Nothobranchius furzeri: one gene and its partner. The protein of the gene in region 1 purifies or fractionates together with the protein of each later gene. This does not show direct contact. Links are inferred from orthologs where the notes say so. Each region holds a gene or a part of one and is shown on either strand. Other genes may lie near its edges.

Region 1 (3,824 bases):
CTCTGTCGTCGCTGCCGCCCAGCCCAGCTCAGGAACCGCTAGCTTCCATAAGAAAAAACTAAACGACACAAAATCGGGCTCCTCTGGTCCCGTATCGCCCAGCTCCATGACCATCAGTAAAGAGTACTCCACTAGAGACAGGGTCAGCCTTCTCCGCTTCTTCAAGTCCAAGAAGGCCCGCTCGGGCATGGCGCTACCATCCTACCGTAAGTTTGTGACCAAGAGCAGCAAGAAGAGCATCTTCGTGCTGCCCAACGACGACCTGAAGAGGATGGCGAGGAAGGCGGGCATTAAAGAGGTGCTGATCTTTAGCTACAACGCCAAACCCGCTTTGGACATTTGGCCCTACCCATCACCGCGACCCACCTTTGGGATTGCGTGGAGGTTAGTGACGAATCAAGAAGAGTTACTTTTTTCTCAGAGCTTTTATTCTCTATAAGAGATTAAGGTAAATCAATGCCGAGTTAGAAATACGATGAATATTTTTGTTGACGTTATTTATTAGGGATCAAATTAAATCAAACTTTATTTATGTAGCACTTAATCCTACAATGCATGTAACTCAAAGTGCTTAACAAATTAAAAAGGCCCTGCATTCCCTCCCATCCCCAGAATTTTAAAAACAGTCTGACAATAAAAAGCCCTTCACAACACTCATCCTCCGGCACGCACACACACATGCGCACCCCCCCCCCCCCCCCCCCCCCCGGGAAAAACTATGGACTGAGTTTAGATGAGCCAGACCAGCTAAGATAAGGAAACGCCATCAGGGGAGCCATCCGCCCCGACAGCAGCAGCCCAGGCACAGACACAGGGCGCCCAGGGCAGGGAGGGCGGAGACCCCCACCTCCTCCCAGGCACACCTGGAAAGCACCCAGGCCGCCACAGCCGACCTCCGTCCCGGGGGCAGAGGGCTCCCACAGAGGAAACACCGGCAAAAGGTTAAATTAAGGTTAAAATATAAAATCATAAGAGCTAAAATGAAAATTTTAATTAAAAAAAGTTATATAGATATTCAAATAATGTTGATCATAAATCAATGGTTAATTTATATATATATAAATAAAAGCGGTTTAAAAATAGCACATATAATAAAAGAATGCATAAAATAAATAACCTAATTAATTAATTTAAAAAGTGATAGTAATCAGTTAAAAGCTAAGCTAAAAAGATGGGTCTTGAGCCTGTTTCTAAAAACATGAACGCTCTCTGCGGCCCTGAGGTCCCCTGGCAGCTCGTTCCAGAGGCGAGGACCGTAGTACCGGAAGGACGCCTCGCCGTGAATCTGTGTCCTGACTGTAGGGATGTGTATTGGTGAAATTTTGGCGATATGTATCACGACACGGGAGAAGAGGCAATGTATCACGACATATTGCGATAAATTCAATCAGACGATATTAGTGATTTTTTTTTTTTAAGACTGAAGTTATTTTAGGAAAATTAAAAAAAACTGTCCTAATCGATATGCAACATGTTTACATGAGATATCTGAACCATAACAGAGGGATTTACATTTCAGTGGTGGAAATAAAACCCACTGCACACCGCTGCCAACTAGTGGCAGGTGTTTGAATTGCACCAAAAGAAAACACAACTATTTGAATGTAAATTCTTCCAAAAATTAATCACACGGCTTTTGATATAATCAAATATCGCGATATATTGCCATATCGATCTTTCCGTACATCCCGAATATTTAAGTTAATTCAGGTTATTCATTTGTTTCTTTGGTTAAAAGTTTGATTTTTATGCCGAGTTGAGAATCAAGAGAAGGTTAAATTCAGCTGTCGTTAGTGACATGTTAGCAGGTCGATAAGGTGGAGAACATCTGGATGTATTTGGTGATATTAGATCTGTTCTAATGCCAGAAGCTGGTTGTTAGACTCGTGGATGGTGGAAGCGTGAACACCTTCTCAGCGGCTGTCTCCTCCTCAGGTACCGCCTCCAGACGGTGAAGTCTCTGGCCGGCGTTAGCTTGATGCTGAGGCTGCTGTGGGCCTCTCTCAGGTGGGACGACATGGCGGTGAAGCCCTCTTCAGCTGTCGGGACGACGCGTAAAGGTGAGCAACCTCTATCGCTTCACCTACCTGTTATGTCAGGTAGTCACGAGGAACTGAGGGAGCTTGTTCATTATGGGATGGAACGTCCGTATGAGTCGGGACAAGTTTGTGTTTTTGTTCTAGAAACCACAGAAACCAACGTCGTCACCACCGAGATCATCAAAAGGAGAGACGTGGGGCTGTACGGCATTCGCTCGGAATACTGCATCAGGAAGATCATCTGTCCCCTCGAGAACAAGGATGCTCCCAAAGGTGGGAATGCTCACCGTCATCATGACTTAAACGTTATTAACTAACCACTCCATTACGTCCGTGAACAGAAACGCCAACCCCGCAGAGGAAAGGTCTGCGCTCAAGCGCTCTGAGGCCGAAGAAGCAGGAGCCTGCCAAGCAGACTGGCCCCGTCGCCGTGGAGACGTGGGTACCTGAAGAGGAGCTGGAGCTGTGGGAGATCCGAGCCTTCGCAGAGAGGTGAGCAGCACGCTTCAGGCACGGCTGCGGGTCAGCGCCGTCGCAGAGAAGTTCAGCAAGCGTTTGAGAAAGTCCGCACTTGTGTGTGACTTTACAAAGTCCTGCATTTTAAATGTAAATGCATCATTTATGAGCTGAAAACAGATTTTTATTCCTGACTTTTGACAATATGCAGAAGTAAGTTTTAAAACTAAATTTGTTCGAGTTCTTATCGATGAAGACTTGACATGGAAATCCTGTATTAGTTACAGAAAATGTAAAATTGCCAAATCCATAGGAGTATTACATAGAGTCGAGTTTTACTGACTAATTCTGGTTTGTTGGTGTTGTACAATTCACTGGGGAACAACATACAAAAACTATACACAACCCTCATTTATTTTACAGAAAAGAGCTCTGAGCATCATCAGTTATAGTGGCTGTAGAGATCCATCAAACCTGTTGAATATTAAATATAAATTATTGAAATTTCATGATTTAAAAGACTGGAAAATCACACAAACATGTATAAAGCCAGTTTAGGTACTCTGCCAACAAACATTCAGGGGATATCTGAAAAGAGAACTAGTAATTACACGCTGAAAGAAACTGATGTGTTTACAAAACCCAGATTTAGAACTAAAGTTAAGGAGTGGAATATATCTGTAAATGTGTTAAATTAGGGAATAACCTTAAAAGGGAATAAAAATACTCTGTCATTTAATATATTCAGAAATGTACCAAACTGAGTGTACTAAATAATTATGAAAATGTGAATTAAACCAACGACCATGATCGCTCTGGAATTTAGAACAGGAAAAGATTTAAAATGTGTGTGTGTGTGTGTGTGTGTGTGTGTGTGTGTGTGTGTGTGTGTGTGTGTGTGTGTGTGTGTGTGTGTGTGTGTGTGTGTGTGTGTGTGTGTGTGTGTGTGTGTGTGTGTGTGTGTGTGTGTGTGTGTGTGTGTGTGTGTGTGTGTGTGTGAGTCTGACGAATGGAAATTGTATATAAATGGATTATTTCTTCTGGAAAAGGGGGCAGAAGTTATAAGATGTTTTTCTTCATTCTGCTCCTTTTCATTCAAATTAGATTTGTTGTTATGTATTATTGTTTATATGTTTTATTCGTTTTTATTTTGAATGAAAAAAACAAAACAACAAAAGATGAAGTTCGAGTCGAGACTCTAGATTAAAGTTATATATTTATCAGAAGAACGTGTAGATGTTCTCTGAGTGTTTTCTCAGCGTTGTTCATGACTTACAAAGACTTTATTTCCCTGAGATGCTCCGCTTACTCTGTGGAGAAAATACAGAT
Region 2 (3,436 bases), about 420 kb from region 1:
CACATTCAGTTTTATAAATAAACCTGGTGTGGTAAACCTTCGTCTTTATGGTGTCAGAACGGCTCCGTTTTCTTCTGAATCGCTCCTGAAAGTTTCACATAAATCCGTTACTTTGGTTTGAAGCGAACGGCGGCCCTGATGCGCCGCCATTCCTACTGCTGCCCGCGTAGACGTAGCGATGGGTACCGAGTTCGGTACTTTTAAAGGTACCGACCAAATTCTACAGTACCGACTGAGCACAGATTCACGTCATTTGAAACGGGGCCTCGTTTCGGTACCCGTCCTTCATAACGAGAACTTGCCTAGACAGCTGTGCATGCGCAAGAGCGTTACGTCGTCGGTCCCTGCGAGCGAGTTGTAAACAGAGCAGCACGGTAGAAAGAACGCACGCTAAAGCTTGGGTCCACTTCACTAATGGGCCATTCCCATCTGTACCGGGTCGGCCCGGGCCGGGTAGTCCCAGTCGGCCCCAGCCTGGCCCGGTTGATTCCACACATCCTTGTCTTGAGCCCATGTGGGCTGATTCTACCCACCAATCAGAGGCTTGCTCTAATGGAAGGTGTGGATTTGCTGTCAGCAGTGGGTGTGTTGGTCCTGGTCGTCCTGAAGCAGACCCCCTCGAGAAGAGGGCTGAGAATGAGCCTTGAATGGCCCGGAAAAATACCAGGCCACCCAGATATGTAAACAACCTACGCTACCCGGCCCGGGCCGACCCGGTACAGATGGGAATGGCCCATAAATGTGATGGGTAACTGGGTGATGATGAAACCAGCGACAACGATCTAAGTGAGACATCCTCATCTTAATCTGCTCCGGTAGGTAAATAAAATATTTAAGATAACGTTAGCTTGATATGTTAGCTTCCGTTTCGCTAATGGTGCGTTCGCTTTCTCCTCGGAACTCCGAATTTCCGACTAGAAGAACATGAACGCGCTCTAAAGTTTGGGTTCACTTTACTCAAGGCGACGGGTGATTGGGTGAAGATGAAACCAGCGACAACGATCTAACTGTGAGGCATCATCGTTTTAATCTGCTCCAGCAGCTAAATAAACTGTTTAAGATAACGTTAGCTTGATCTGTTAGCTTCCATTGCCACCGTTGTTATCAGCTAATGGTGCGTTCACTTTCTCCTCGGAAATTCTAACTTCCCAGTAGGAAAAATCAAATGAAAAAGGACGGCAAAAGGAATGAAGATACACAGTAAATTTAGTTCACAGTAAAGATGTTTGCTTCAGTTTAATTATCAGCTTATAAAACTACAAGGACGATGTTAAAATACAACCAGTTGTATGTTATTTATCATGATATTTATCAAATATGGTTATATATTGAGAAAAATATATATTTAATTATAAAAGAGAATTAAAATATTAAACACTCAAAAGTATCAAAAATTGGTACCGTTAAGTACCGGTATCGATTCCTAGGTACCGGGAATTAGTACCGGATCGATTCAAATGTCAAAGGTACCCATCCCTACGTGGACGTGGTAGCATACGGAGTGATGTCCTGTGTGTTTTTGTTTTTCAGGTCTGGAGGCAGAAAGCTCAGCATCTGCAGCACAAACAGAACAAAGCTGAGGCCACTACCGTCAAGCACAAAACCTCCAACGACGCCAAAAGCAAAGGTATCTGTGAACTAACCGGGGCTTTCCACCAGACACGTAAACTCTGCGGAACGTCCGAGAACCGTCCAGAGGACGGGTGCTTTTACCGGCAGCGAGGACTGCCCTGGTAGTTAAACTTACGCTTCGGGTATAATTTAACACACAACGCTTCCACAACGCGTCAAGCTCTGCTGTTCAGATCAGACCCAACAGGAAGTCCAACGCAAAAGCAGTTCAAAGCATCCTCAAACTTTCAAAATAAAAGTCCAGTGCAGATTTCCGGTTGCATACCTACTGTTGTTTTTCTCTTTGTTATCTCCGAAACCACGTGGGACCAGCTAGGAATGCTAACCCTTCCTTGTTCTGCGTTTGAAAGTAACAAAGCGCTGATGGGGAAAAGATGCGTGTGATGTAACGTGCCGCTTATGCATCATCCCCCCCCCCAGGGTCGCCCATTGCTTGATAAATTTCTATTTTCTTATGAAAGTTGTAGGAATGGCGGCAGGAGTGGTGTCACCAACCAGAACCCCGGGTGCCATGTCCCTGTCTCCAGCTCGAGTCCCAGATGTTGATCCCATCGATGCGGCGGCTCACCTGCAGCTGCTGGGAGAGTCCTTGTCTCTGATTGGCCACCGCCTGCAGGAAACAGAAGTGAGTTCCCGCGTTTGTTTGCTCCACATCCGTCTAGCTTTCCCCTGAGTCTGGATCTGACCGCTGTTCCGTCGTGTTAGGGGATGGTGGCGGTGTCCGGGAGTTTGTCTGTCCTCCTGGACTCCATCTTGTGTGCACTTGGCCCGTTGACCTGCCTCACGGCGCAGATACCGCAGTTGAACGGGTGTCCGCGACACGTCCTGGTACAGTACACGAGTTTAGATCTGCTTTACTGCGACTCTGTCGACTTTTAAATGACCCTGATGATTTGTTTTGCTTGTGTCAGTCAAACACGCTGGACAACATCGCCTACATCATGCCCGGACTGTGAGTCGACCCGAACGCAGAAGACGGTCCATCTGACCAAAGGTCTCCGTTCCTGGAGAGAGACCCCTAACTGAAGCTGCTGCGTAGTGTCAGAATATTTCTACTTTCTACGTGTTTTTAACGTGTATTTTTAGAAACGTGTCTTATTGAGCTGATTGCTGAATTTTTTTAAATCCAACATTTCATCGGACATCTTCTGACGCCTCGGTTTGGTCTGGACTGTTTCTGTACAGCAGCTTGTTTTATGAATGAATGAGTGTCTTATTTAGCCACTAAGTGGGATTGAAAGGTGATTTTTTACCATTTTAATGTGTTTCTCTGTAAATAGTTACTACCTTGTTGTAGACGCCCTACAGGACTGACGCGCTAACGGCTAGTCTCATGGGAGACCGTGACCATGAGAACAGAGGGCATGGTAGCACCTACTGAACCATATGTGGAGAACTGGAATGAAATCCAGGAAGCAGCGGGAACGCTGGGTCTAAATGTCCTGACATTAAAACATTCAGTTTCTGGCGGGAATGGCTGATGGAGTGGCGGCAGCTGCTCCTGATGGTCCTCAGGATTCAGGAGGCTATGTAGGGTAGGACGGTGACTCTGGCTTTTACACGGAAACGCTTCAATATGTGTAAAAAGACGTCTTAACTGTTAATGTAAAGTATTATTCCTCATGCGTGTTTTATAGGGTTTTTACATTGTGTAAAGTATTTAGATTTACAAGAAATTTGAAAGGAAAAGAACGCGTGTAACATAAAAGCCCGCCTCCATCTAATCTACGTCTCTGTGTCACTTATTTCTGTGAAAGACCGTTGATCTTTTCAGAGGGTTAAAATCCCGGCACGGGTCCTCGTC

Evidence for each region.
Region 2: the proteins of bptf (region 1) and hmgxb4a fractionate together in Homo sapiens (co-fractionation; 3 studies listed by BioGRID, with this or other methods). This does not show direct contact. The link is inferred for Nothobranchius furzeri from reciprocal best matches to the Homo sapiens genes BPTF and HMGXB4.

The regions. Positions count from the first base shown.
Region 1 is NC_091752.1:67,662,818-67,666,641, reverse strand, and holds part of bptf (nucleosome-remodeling factor subunit BPTF), read left to right. Parts: coding exon 1-384; intron 385-1,935; coding exon 1,936-2,060; intron 2,061-2,183; coding exon 2,184-2,312; intron 2,313-2,380; coding exon 2,381-2,531; intron 2,532-3,824. UniProt on the Homo sapiens protein: Regulatory subunit of the ATP-dependent NURF-1 and NURF-5 ISWI chromatin remodeling complexes, which form ordered nucleosome arrays on chromatin and facilitate access to DNA during DNA-templated processes such as DNA replication, transcription, and repair.
Region 2 is NC_091752.1:68,081,555-68,084,990, forward strand, and holds the end of hmgxb4a (HMG domain-containing protein 4a), read left to right. Parts: intron 1-1,530; coding exon 1,531-1,627; intron 1,628-2,093; coding exon 2,094-2,257; intron 2,258-2,337; coding exon 2,338-2,460; intron 2,461-2,543; coding exon 2,544-2,588; 3' UTR 2,589-2,893; downstream 2,894-3,436. UniProt on the Homo sapiens protein: Negatively regulates Wnt/beta-catenin signaling during development.